Tribolium castaneum: one gene and its partners. The main gene of each other region encodes a partner of the protein of the gene in region 3 in a complex. Links are inferred from orthologs where the notes say so. Each region holds a gene or a part of one and is shown on either strand. Other genes may lie near its edges.

Region 1 (3,600 bases), on a different chromosome or scaffold from region 3:
CCAACCACGCGGCCTGGACCCACGGAAATCCCCCAAACGCCACAGCCAGGCGTACCAACTGATGAGGATTTGAAACACCCGCCACATATTCACGCAATTGATGTCGAGTGCGCCAAAGACATGATGACCATCACGATTGAATTTAACCGCGAGTTCAATGGAGTGATTTACTCCAAAGGCTACTACAACATGCCTGAATGTCGCTACGTGAACGAAAATTCCGAAATGACGAAATACCGCTTCACCGTCAGTTTGAACTCTTGTGGGACTGAATTTATCAACGCGTTTGATACTCAAGGACAGTCGTACCTGGAGAACGTCCTCGTGATCCAAAACGAGCAAGGGATCCAGGAGGTTTGGGACACAATCAGAGCTGTGAGGTGCCTCTGGGAGGGCAACCTGAAGGACTCCCTCAGCGTGGCGCTCAGCGTGGGGATGCTAAGCCAGGAGATTGTGACTTTCAGTGGGGACACCGCCATGGCCAAGCTGGACATCCAACTGGGCAAAGGCCCATTCGCGCCCCCGGCCAACGGTTTGGTCAAAATCGGGGAGCAAATGACCCTTGTTATCTCCGTGACCGGAGACCCCGGTTTTGACATCCAAGTCAAAGACTGCAGGGCTACGGACTCGACCGGCGACCGCGTGTACCCCCTAACCGACGAAAACGGCTGTATTCTCAAACCCAAACTATTTGGCGCGTTCCAAAAAACACGAAACACGGGAAATACCGGCGCTTCCATCATTGCCTACGCGTTTTTCAACGCTTTTAAATTCCCAGATGTGATGGATTTGATGATTCAGTGCAACATTGAGCTTTGCAAAACCGACTGTCAGGTGTGTCCAGAGCCCAACCAGCAAATCGAGCCTGGGAGGAGGCGCAAACGTGACCTTTCGTACTATAATAACACTGACGGGGTCACAATGGGGAAGCACCTGAGGGTCGTTTTGGCGGAGGATTTGAACGATATTGGCAATACTGAGGCCGCGTTTGAGGGGGAAGTTTGTATGACGACGCAGAATTTTCTACTAGTTTCGGCGATTTTGATCTCGCTACTCACTGCCAGTAGTGTACTAAGTGCTTGTCTCTGGTTGAAGAACCAACGGATTGCTCACAAAGGGTGACAACTTTACCACAATCCTGCCAATGTAGTTCCGTCCATTAAGTTATTGTGACTCCAGTATTTTATTTAAGTTTTTTAATTATCGTAGGCCCATATTTATGTAAATACTTGACTAATAAAGTAAGAATTTTGTAGCGTGGGGTTTTCTTTTATCAAGGTTGACGACAACGACAGACTAAATTTGTTTAATAAAAAAGCATAATTTTTTTGTATGGGACTTTATTGATTGAAATTTACATAATTTGAGGCGTAAAACTAGTAAATCATTACGATTCATTGTAAGCGATTAGTTCATAATACATATAAACGAAAAAAAAAAATGGTCTGGGTCAGGGTTTGAACCCATAACTTTTGAGTTGGTGTTGATCAGTTGATGATTCCTCGGTCATAAGCACTTTCGTACTACATAATAGCAGGTTTTCTCAAATCAATGCGGTGCCAAATCGGTACAAAAAGTTTAAAACAGTGATTTTATAACAAACAAACGATGGGCTTATTATTTGGGTGCGTTTTAATGTCGTTAGATTGACAAATAACGAGGTTGTTTTATTCGGCCTTGTGCAACTTCGGACGTAGCGTTATGTCACCTGCCAAAAAAGCGACAAATGGCAAACCATTATGAGGTGCCAAATTGGTAAATAATCCTTGAAAAATTGTGTTATTGGCCCCTGAACCCCTCACTTATCATTTCGCCCCCTTTTCTGTCACACAATCCACAAATCGTGTGTTTTTGTGTGTTGAGGTTATGCTGTTTCAGGGCAGGCAAGCCCCCCGTGGGTTTGCATTTGGACGTGCTAAAGGGCGACAAACTAATACAAAAATTGATGATCGACGACAAAAAGTGTTACTTATTTGGACGCAACGCCCAAATGAACGATTTCTGCATCGATCACGCGTCATGTTCGCGGGTTCATGCAGCCCTCGTTTGGCACAAACACTTAGATCGGGCGTTTCTGGTGGATTTGGGGAGCAGTAAGTGTCACGTGTGCGCAACTTAGGGCTTTTTTGTGTCAAGACTTGGATAATTTGCGTTGTTTTAGCCCATGGCACCTTCATAGGATCATTAAGACTTGAGGCGTATAAACCCACTCAGTTGCCTATTGATTCTAGTTTTCACTTTGGGGCGTCCACGCGAAATTACACGATCAGGGAGCGGCCCCAGACGGGCATGCGGCCGATCATTGACGAGATCGAAAAGGCGGGCGAGGAGACCGAGGGCGGATTGCTGGGGCTCCCCGAGACCGAAACGGAACTCGATGTAAACCACCCCAACCAGCGAAGCTGAGAGCTTTACAAAAAATATTTTTTTCCATAGAATTTGACGGAATTTAACACCGCCCACAACCGGCGGATATCAATGCTGGGAATCACCGACGACACGGAAAAACGCAACACCAACCGGAAGCGCAAACGCCAAGTCGTTTCCTTCAACGAGGACGAAGAGATCATAAACCCTGAAGATGTGGACCCGAGTATCGGTAAATTCCGAAACTTGGTCCAAACCACCGTTGTACCTTCAACCATCAAGAGGGCCAAATTCGCGGCTGAGAATATCGGAATCCCCACTGAATACAAAAATCCCAAAATCCTTCATCCCTCCGCCCCCGATTTGTACACAGACCTGCCCCCCGAATCCCACTCTCCAACCAGTTCAGGGAATTTAAGCATTTACAGTTCGTTAAGTTCACGCCTTGGAATGGTTTTACCCAATCCGGCGCCAGATGTCGACATGGGACAGAACTTCGCCCCGCCCACTCCCTTTGTCCCGCCCCAAGTACAAATTGCGGACGCCATGGAGCCCAAGAAAAAGAAGTATGCCAAGGAGGCGTGGCCTGGCAAGAAGCCCACGCAAACGCTATTGGTCTAGGATTAGGTGTAAGCTTTTGATGTAATTTTCTCAAGGTCATAGATTAAATATTCAATAAAAAACGAAAAGTAGTTTCTTTTATCGAAAAACATGGCGAAATAATTTCTGAATTCTGGGAAACAGTTTCAAACTAACACCAACTTGACAAAAATAGGTTTTTTATTTCACTACTTGATGGAATGCAAGGCACTCTCGATTGAAATATCAATCAAAAAATTAATATTTAATAATGGACAATACCTCTGCTGGCACCTTCTCCCGGCCTTTGAGCCCCTCGAGCTCCATTAGAACGAGACACCCTGCGACTTCGCCACCTGCCCCTCGCACGAGCTGGCAGGCAGCCCCTAGACTGCCCCCCGTGGCTAACAAATCGTCCACAAGCAGGACGCGTTGCCCCTTACTTATGCTATTTTCCTGAATTTCAACAGTGTCATGACCGTACTCGAGAGCATACTGCGCCGACAAAATTTTCCCCGGTAGTTTACCCTTTTTCCGAATTGGAACGAAAGGTATGTTCAAATCAATCGCCATCAACGGCCCCAAGAGAAACCCCCGAGCATCCAATCCCACGATACATTCAGCCGGGGGCTCAATTTTGCGTGCAAAAGACAC
Region 2 (3,128 bases), about 11 Mb from region 3:
AGTCCCACCAGGGGTACTCCTTTTTTTTCTTACATTATTGAAAAAAATAAACCAAAAACACAAAAATATTTTATTCTATACATTTACAATCAATGAACCGCTTGCCCCGACCCTGAAACCTTGAGCTTATCCAACCCTGGCAAAGCCCCCGAGCTTCTCACCGGCCCGAAATACTTATGCCCCAAGGCCTCCTGAGCCGTACATCTTTCCATGTGATCATAACAAAGCAACGATTCCAAAAAATCAAAGGCATTCTGATTCACTAAATGCTCATTCTCCGTATTGACAAATCTCTGCCAGGGTTTTTTCGAGTGAATCCCCAACATCTCCTGCATGCTACCTTCCAGCACAATGTTGTATTTATTCAAATAAGAGTAAAACTTGCTCGTGCCCAACACTTTAACAATGCAATACAGTTGGTTGCGGTTATCAAATCCTTGGAAGAAAGGTTCTTTACGGAAGATCATTGCGGCAAAAACGCACCCAAGCGACCACAAGTCGAGGGAATAGTCGTAATAACCGTACTCTACCAACAATTCCGGGCCTTTGTAATGCCGAGACGCCACCCGGACGTTGTAACGTTCTCCGGGACGGTAAAACTCAGCCAAACCGAAATCAATCAACCGGATTTTGCGATTTTTCCGGTCAATTATGATATTGTGCGGCTTGACGTCACGATGCATTATGCCCTTGCTGTGACAGAAATCAAGGGCTTTCAAAATTTCGTAAATGTAAAACCGGATATCGGAATCACTCAATTTCAAATAAACCTCCTTAAAGTCCTCATTATTTGACGGGGATTCGAAAATCAGGGCGTGCAAAGCTGTGGAAGGCACCGACACCACGGCATATAAACTCACAATGTTGGGGCCGTTCCTCAAGTGCTCCAAAATTTTAATTTCACGTTTGATTTTCGGTTTTTTGATCGGTTTTAGCAACTTGACCACGACCGAATCGTTAGTACCATCGTGCACCCCCTCGAACACTAGACTGTACTTCCCTTGACCGATTTTCCGAATCAAACTGTAATTGTTGATATCGTCAGTCGGGGGGTTGTAGTTGTCGTACTCAAAGTAGGAAGAGGGCTTGTTTGAGAACACGTCCGAGTATACCCGTGATGTTGTAACAACAACGCTACGACTAATTTGTGTTATTTTGGTAATTTTAGGCCTAAAACACTTACGGTGTGTCGTCCAAATCCATTTTTGGCACAAATTTTTTGAAATCTTTTTTTGACATTTGAAATTTAAACGGGGTGCTTACTTGTCACTAAACGACAAAACGAAAATCCCTAACCCGATTAAGCGAAAAACACAATTGTGGCTTTAATTTAATGGTGCCACACGAATTATGAATTATTTTGTGTTTTGTGAGCCAGTCTCGAGTGTCTTGTGGTGGTTTTGGTCGTTTTTGGTGTAGTTATTGGGGCGTCATAACCTCAAATTCGTCATGTCAACAAGTGGGATTAAAACCGAATCTAACGATTCAAATGACTCGAAACCCGTTTTTAAACGTAAAAACCGTAAACAGCTGCGCCAAAGGCGCCCCTCGGATGGTAGTGACCGAGAGGAGGACCTGGAGGAGGTCAGGTAACAAGACCCCCTTCACTGTGGTGCCTCCCCTAACGTTGCTTTTAGCACCAAACTAGAAGAAATGAAGGAGTTACAAAACTTGCGTAAGCGCCCCCATGGAGTCAACGCCTTGGGGCTAGCCCTAGGTACCAAAATCACCATCGAGGACGAGTGCATTTCAAAGGACCCTTTCAAGGTGAAGTCCGGCGGCATGGTCAACATGCAAGCCCTTAAAAGCGGCAAAGTCAAGCAAGTCGATGATGCGTACGACACTGGCATAGGGACCCAGTTTTCGGTCGAGACGAATAAACGTGACGAAGACGAGGAAATGATGAAGTTTATTGAAGAAGAGTTGTCGAAGAAGAAGCGCAAGGTCGAGCCCCAGGAGCAGGCCGAGGCTGAGAACAAGTCGGCGTACACCAGCCCCGAGGAGGCGGCTTTGAGGGCAGTCCCGGACCATTTGAGGGAGTCGTCGACGAAGAGGTCGGAGGAGATGTTGTCCAATCAGATGTTGAATGGGATTCCGGAAGTGGACCTGGGGATTGAGGCCAAGATTAAGAATATTGAAGCTACGGAAGAGGCGAAGTTGAGGCTGCTGTGGGAGAAGCAGAATAAGAAGGACGGGCCTTCGCCTTTTGTGCCGACGAATATGGCGGTGAATTTTGTGCAGCACAATCGATGTGAGTTGGCAGAACTGCTCATATTTGGAGTTTTTTACTTTTTTTACAGTTAATATAGACGCAGAGGTTGCTAAAAAGAAGGCCAAGTTGGATGATAAAGTGGAGGAGGCTACGGAAAAGCCGAAGAAAAAGGATGAGAGGGCCACCGATGATTATCACTACGAAAAGTTCAAAAAACAATTTAGGAGATATTAGCCTTTTGTAGTGTTTTTTATTTTTGAATAAATTATTTATTTTGATTTGTTTTTATTTCTTTTAAAAATCCGAGCAAATAATCACTGTGTTGTTTTGAAATTCATAACTCAAAAACTAAAAGTCGTAGAGCAATGCGGTTTGTTCCATTGGATTCAGCGGCTTTTTTTCTCTATTATACTAATTTTTCACGCAATTTAAAATTTTCAATTTTTTTTGCTCAAATTTCCTGAGTACCTTCAAGAGGTGAAACAAAAATTTTTTTTTAACTAACTCTAGGAACTTTTTATGGACTCCTACATGTCTTAACAACCCACAAAAGTTGTTAAAAGTCCACAAAAAGTCCAAATGTTCGATTTTTTGATGTTTGATTTTTTCAATTTTCGTCGCAGTTTTTGTCGATTTTGGGTACCCGGAACATTTGTCGAGCAATAGCTCCGGAACTATTAGAGATAACCCCATGAAGTGTATTATCGTTGGAAAGCTCTTTAAATTATCTATTTTTTTCAAAAAAGATTATTGTTCTCCGACTAATAGTTTTCGAGCAAATTGCTGCTAAATGCAAAAATTGGTAATATTTTAAAAAATTCATAACTAAAAAACTATTGGGAATTTGGCAATTTTCTCGATGCCAATCGATTCCCCGGATCATTTTGCAGGGATATGGACCAAAACAGTTCCACTT
Region 3 (4,216 bases):
TTTTCAAGTTAAAAAAAACATTTACCATGATTTAAACCAGAATATTAAAAAAAATGTTAATAGATAAATTAACAAATTACAAAAATGACAGTTTAAACTTTTAAGAAAAACGAAAATTGGAAAAAATCCGAGAAGAATCAAGAGGATGAAAATATAAAACAACGAAAGTGTGCATTTTTTATTTTAACAGAAAATCTTAATAATACTCAGATTATTTATTTCCCTTCCACAGAGAATTTTGATAGACAAAAAAAATTTTAAATGAAAAAGAAAAAAAGATAAAATAACAAATGAGTTTAAGACAAAGTTTTATTATATTGATAATGCAAAGTAACATATAAAAAGTAATGAGGCCCTATTTTCTATGAAATATTCAAGAATTTCACAGAATAAAAATTTGTAATTTAAAGCAGTGTAATTGTAAAAAATACAGTTGTTTGTATTATGCACGCAAAGCCAATTTTTTTATTTTTTATTTTTTTTTAATTATGTAGTTGTAGTCTGACATTCTCAAGTTAAAAAACATTTGTTCTGCGCTAATTTCCATAAAAATAACTATTTAAAGCAAAATATTTAAAAAATAAAAAATAAATGGACTAATTACATAATTACAGTTAGAAAAAACAAAAATTAAATTAAATTAAATTAAATTAAATTAAAAAAAGATTAAACTTAAAAAAAAGAAAATTCTATGGTAAAAGATTAAAAAAATTCCGTAAAGTAGGCAAATATAAAAATACACAAGTCCTATCTTTTATTTAAACAAAAAAAATTGTAACATATTAAAAAATCACTGACACTTCAGGGACACTGGATAGAATCTTAAAATTCAAACTCCTTGTTTCTTTTCCAAGGGATTTTGAGAAACAAATTAAATAGTGATTGAAAAGTAATATTAAATGAAAATTAAAATACTCTAAGAATTACAAACTGCAAAACTGAAAAGAAAATAACAAAACTGTTCAATAAAAAAAACTAAAAAAATAGATAAAACTATAAGACGAGTTCTCAGATAACTAGATACCCATATTAAAATGTTTTGAAAATGTGTAGACAGATGTTCTGGTAGGTCAATTGGCGTGGAAACAAACGCAAAACTTTGAATAATTTAAAAGACGAATTAAAAAAAATTTCTATTTTTCCATTCATCAACGATTTTCGCACCAAACTCTGTATCATAGTAAGATAATCTTCATATAATTATATGGATGCACCTGTACTAACCATTATCATCAATAGTCCCGGAATTATAGATTTCAGAATAGATTTGATGCTAGTTAGTGTTTAGTAACGTTTTTCCAAAACGTTAAGAAGTATTTTTTGGAAGAATACGTATTTATAACAACTTACCGTTTGGGCTTAGACTCGCGTTTCGCCCCATGGTACACCTCAACAGACAGCAGCCCCCTTTTGGTCCTCCTATTAATCTCCTCAGACCATTGATTCATAAGACTGGCTGGACAAACGACCAAAGTGCCCCCTGGCCGTTTATCACGATGGTTTTCCTTATCTTGCTCTTCATCAGTGTTCAATTCCCTTGACTTCAATATTAGTGAAATCATTGTAAGCGTTTTCCCAAGTCCCATATCATCAGCCAAGAGCCCCCCTGAGGGTTTTTGTTTTTCGCGCCACAAAAGCCAGGCTAGTGCTTGCTTTTGGTGGGGCATTAGAGGCACTTTAAGCCCACGTGGGTCCTCCACGGTGTCTTTTTCAGTCGGACAAGTCTCCAAAGATTTGTGAAGCGAATCGAGAGTCTCCATTGCCATTGATTTCTCGGCCTTAAATCGAGCAACACCGATTTTACCAAATGTTCGGGGCCCCACGGCCCCCACGCCTGCCTCGATCTCGTCCCAAGCAACTTCGATTCGATTCTGGGCTGTTAAAGGGGGCTCCTCATTATTTACTTCCATGGTATCCAACAAATCCTTTTGCTCTTGCAATAGTTTGATCAATGATTGTTCTTTGTCGATTAGGGATTTCCCCCGATCAGGCAAATTTTCCAGTTTGATCACCCTCATGGCATTCTACAATTGATTACGTAAACAAGTGAAAATAAAGCGACGTTCACTCACTTTAGCCCTCAATAAATCAGCTTCAATTGAGCTGATTTTTTTCACTTGTTCCTCGTACTGTGCCCGGCCTACGATGGTTTTTTGGGGTGTTGGGGGCTCAAGTTTGACGTCAAGTAGCGGTTTTGTGTAAAAAGAAGTGATTTTTGTTTGTTTTTGACTAGTTGTAGGGACAGTTTCATCGTCACTGCTCACTTCGACAATACTGAGAGAATCATTGATAATTTCAGGGGTACTTCCATCGATTTTATCACTCGAGATGGACTTATCTTCCTCATCTGTGTAAAAAGAAGCTTTTTGGTCACTTCCTGAATCACTTTCATCATCACTGATTTGACTGTTGTCTCTGTAGCTAAGTCTTGAAAGATTTGACTCAATTTCTTTTACCGGCTCTTTGGCCTCATCTGCGTGATCTGAAGCTTCAATACGTCCTGATGAATCATAAGTTAAATACAATAAAAACGAGAAACTAAAAAAGTACCATCAAATGAGTCCTGCTCTTCGTCCGAGGAGAAAATATCACTGTTTTCACTCATGATTCAGTCGTTATGAAGCGCAGTCTTAATTCATTCAATTTATAGCACAATTAACGATTAAAAGAATGACGTTATCGTTATCACACACAAAAAACTTTCAAAACTTTTTCCGTTAGATAATTTTGCTGGAGTCAAAATCACAAAAGTGTTACCAACCACACACAAAACCATCTGTGGTTTCAAATAATTGTTTGATGAATTTCCTAACTGTTTTGTTATAGCAGTGTATGAATAATCACTTTTCCCGAATAGTTCGTACTAGTTGAGCAAATTTTACTCAAAAATTTGGGTTTGTTGAAATGACAATGCCACAACTTTGTTGGCACCCCTTAGTCACTAAACCACATAACCCCACTTTTTTCAAAAACAAATTAGTGAAATTTACAAGAAAAATGTTAACGAAGCCCCTTGAATTGGCCCAGCAAGTCAAAAGGTAATATTGGCAACTTAGTTTATAAATCAAACACCCAGAAACAAAAAATATTTTATTACTCCAAAACAATTGCTATTTAACCGAATTAATAACCTTTTTCTTGAGCTTCTTCAAAGCCTTTTTCTTGGACAAAACACTCTCCATCCCCACTTTTTGCTCCTCGTTAACCGCCTCCTTGAGCTTCCCTAACGCCTTCTTATATTTTTCACTCAACCCCTCCAATTCTTCAACCCCAACCTCAACCTCCTCAATTTCTTTCTTCAACAAGGTTTTAAACGCCGGCACTTGTTCCTCATGTAGTAGCGTCACAGCCAACCCCGATTCACCCGCCCTAGCTGTCCTCCCGGCTCTGTGTATGTACGTTTTCAAATATTTGGGGGCTGAATAAGAAATCACGCAATTAACCCCCGGCAAGTCAATCCCTCGAGCCAAAAAATCTGTACAAATCAATAAATCAACTTCACCTTTTGTAAAACTTGAAATAAATTCATCTCGGCTTTTCCCCTTCAAATTTGAGGAAATTTCCTCGATTTTTAACCGTTTTTTAAAGAGTGATTTAAGGAGGATTTTAAGCCTGTGGGCACTTTCGACTGAATGAGTAAAAACCAAAGTTTTAGTCAAATTTTCACGTTTGAGGAACGCGTACAAAACGAGTGGTTTGACGTCTTTAGAACAGACGATGTATTTCTCCGTTAATTCTTTCGGTGTTGTGTATTTTCCGGTCAAAATCATGGGTTTTTCCTCACTTTCGTTGTAGTTTTCCACGACCGATGAAGTGAAAAGCTTCGGTTGGAAAAGTGATAATTTTTCGATTTTTTCGGGGTCTTGGGTCAAAGTCGCCGAAAAGAGGAGTTTCTGAGGCGCCCTTTGTCTCTGTAAAGTACACACATTTAAAACTTTCCTGTTTTGAATCGTGTAAATGTGTTTCTCCAAATGATACAACCAATCGTCTTGAACACTTTCCAAAACACGATCAGCTTCGTCAATTATCAAAAATTCGAGCGCTTGTAAATTAAAACCATTGGTCGATTTTAAATGGTTCACTAACCGACCAGCCGTGCATACAAGAATGTCAATTTTGCTCACAAAACCAAAGCACTCGTTGAAATAAACCAATTGTTTTTGCTCAGCTTGAAACATTTGTTTGCCTGAGACCAGGCCCACTTCGATTCGCGTCC

What was found.
Region 1: lds (region 3) and NiPp1 share a complex: the UniProt entries of both Homo sapiens proteins name them as parts of the spliceosome. The link is inferred for Tribolium castaneum from reciprocal best matches to the Homo sapiens genes TTF2 and PPP1R8.
Region 2: lds (region 3) and splicing factor C9orf78 share a complex: the UniProt entries of both Homo sapiens proteins name them as parts of the spliceosome. The link is inferred for Tribolium castaneum from reciprocal best matches to the Homo sapiens genes TTF2 and C9orf78.

The regions. Positions count from the first base shown.
Region 1 is NC_087396.1:21,737,662-21,741,261, forward strand, and holds NiPp1 (nuclear inhibitor of protein phosphatase 1), read left to right. Parts: upstream 1-1,499; 5' UTR 1,500-1,726; coding exon 1,727-1,755; intron 1,756-1,878; coding exon 1,879-2,093; intron 2,094-2,161; coding exon 2,162-2,379; intron 2,380-2,436; coding exon 2,437-2,988; 3' UTR 2,989-3,056; downstream 3,057-3,600. Other genes in the region: EGF-like domain-containing protein 2, read left to right, coding at 1-1,122; Aprt (adenine phosphoribosyltransferase), read right to left, coding at 3,205-3,600. UniProt on the Homo sapiens protein: Inhibitor subunit of the major nuclear protein phosphatase-1 (PP-1). It has RNA-binding activity but does not cleave RNA and may target PP-1 to RNA-associated substrates. May also be involved in pre-mRNA splicing.
Region 2 is NC_087394.1:36,668,240-36,671,367, forward strand, and holds splicing factor C9orf78, read left to right. Parts: upstream 1-1,449; coding exon 1,450-1,589; intron 1,590-1,637; coding exon 1,638-2,251; intron 2,252-2,300; coding exon 2,301-2,446; 3' UTR 2,447-2,490; downstream 2,491-3,128. Other genes in the region: casein kinase II subunit alpha, read right to left, coding at 90-1,140, 1,184-1,239. UniProt on the Homo sapiens protein: Plays a role in pre-mRNA splicing by promoting usage of the upstream 3'-splice site at alternative NAGNAG splice sites; these are sites featuring alternative acceptor motifs separated by only a few nucleotides. May also modulate exon inclusion events.
Region 3 is NC_087394.1:25,404,028-25,408,243, reverse strand, and holds the start of lds (transcription termination factor 2), read right to left. Parts: upstream 2,882-4,216; 5' UTR 2,606-2,881; coding exon 2,551-2,605; intron 2,501-2,550; coding exon 2,073-2,500; intron 2,025-2,072; coding exon 1,351-2,024; intron 1-1,350. Other genes in the region: probable ATP-dependent RNA helicase Dbp73D, read right to left, coding at 3,111-4,216. UniProt on the Homo sapiens protein: DsDNA-dependent ATPase which acts as a transcription termination factor by coupling ATP hydrolysis with removal of RNA polymerase II from the DNA template. May contribute to mitotic transcription repression. May also be involved in pre-mRNA splicing.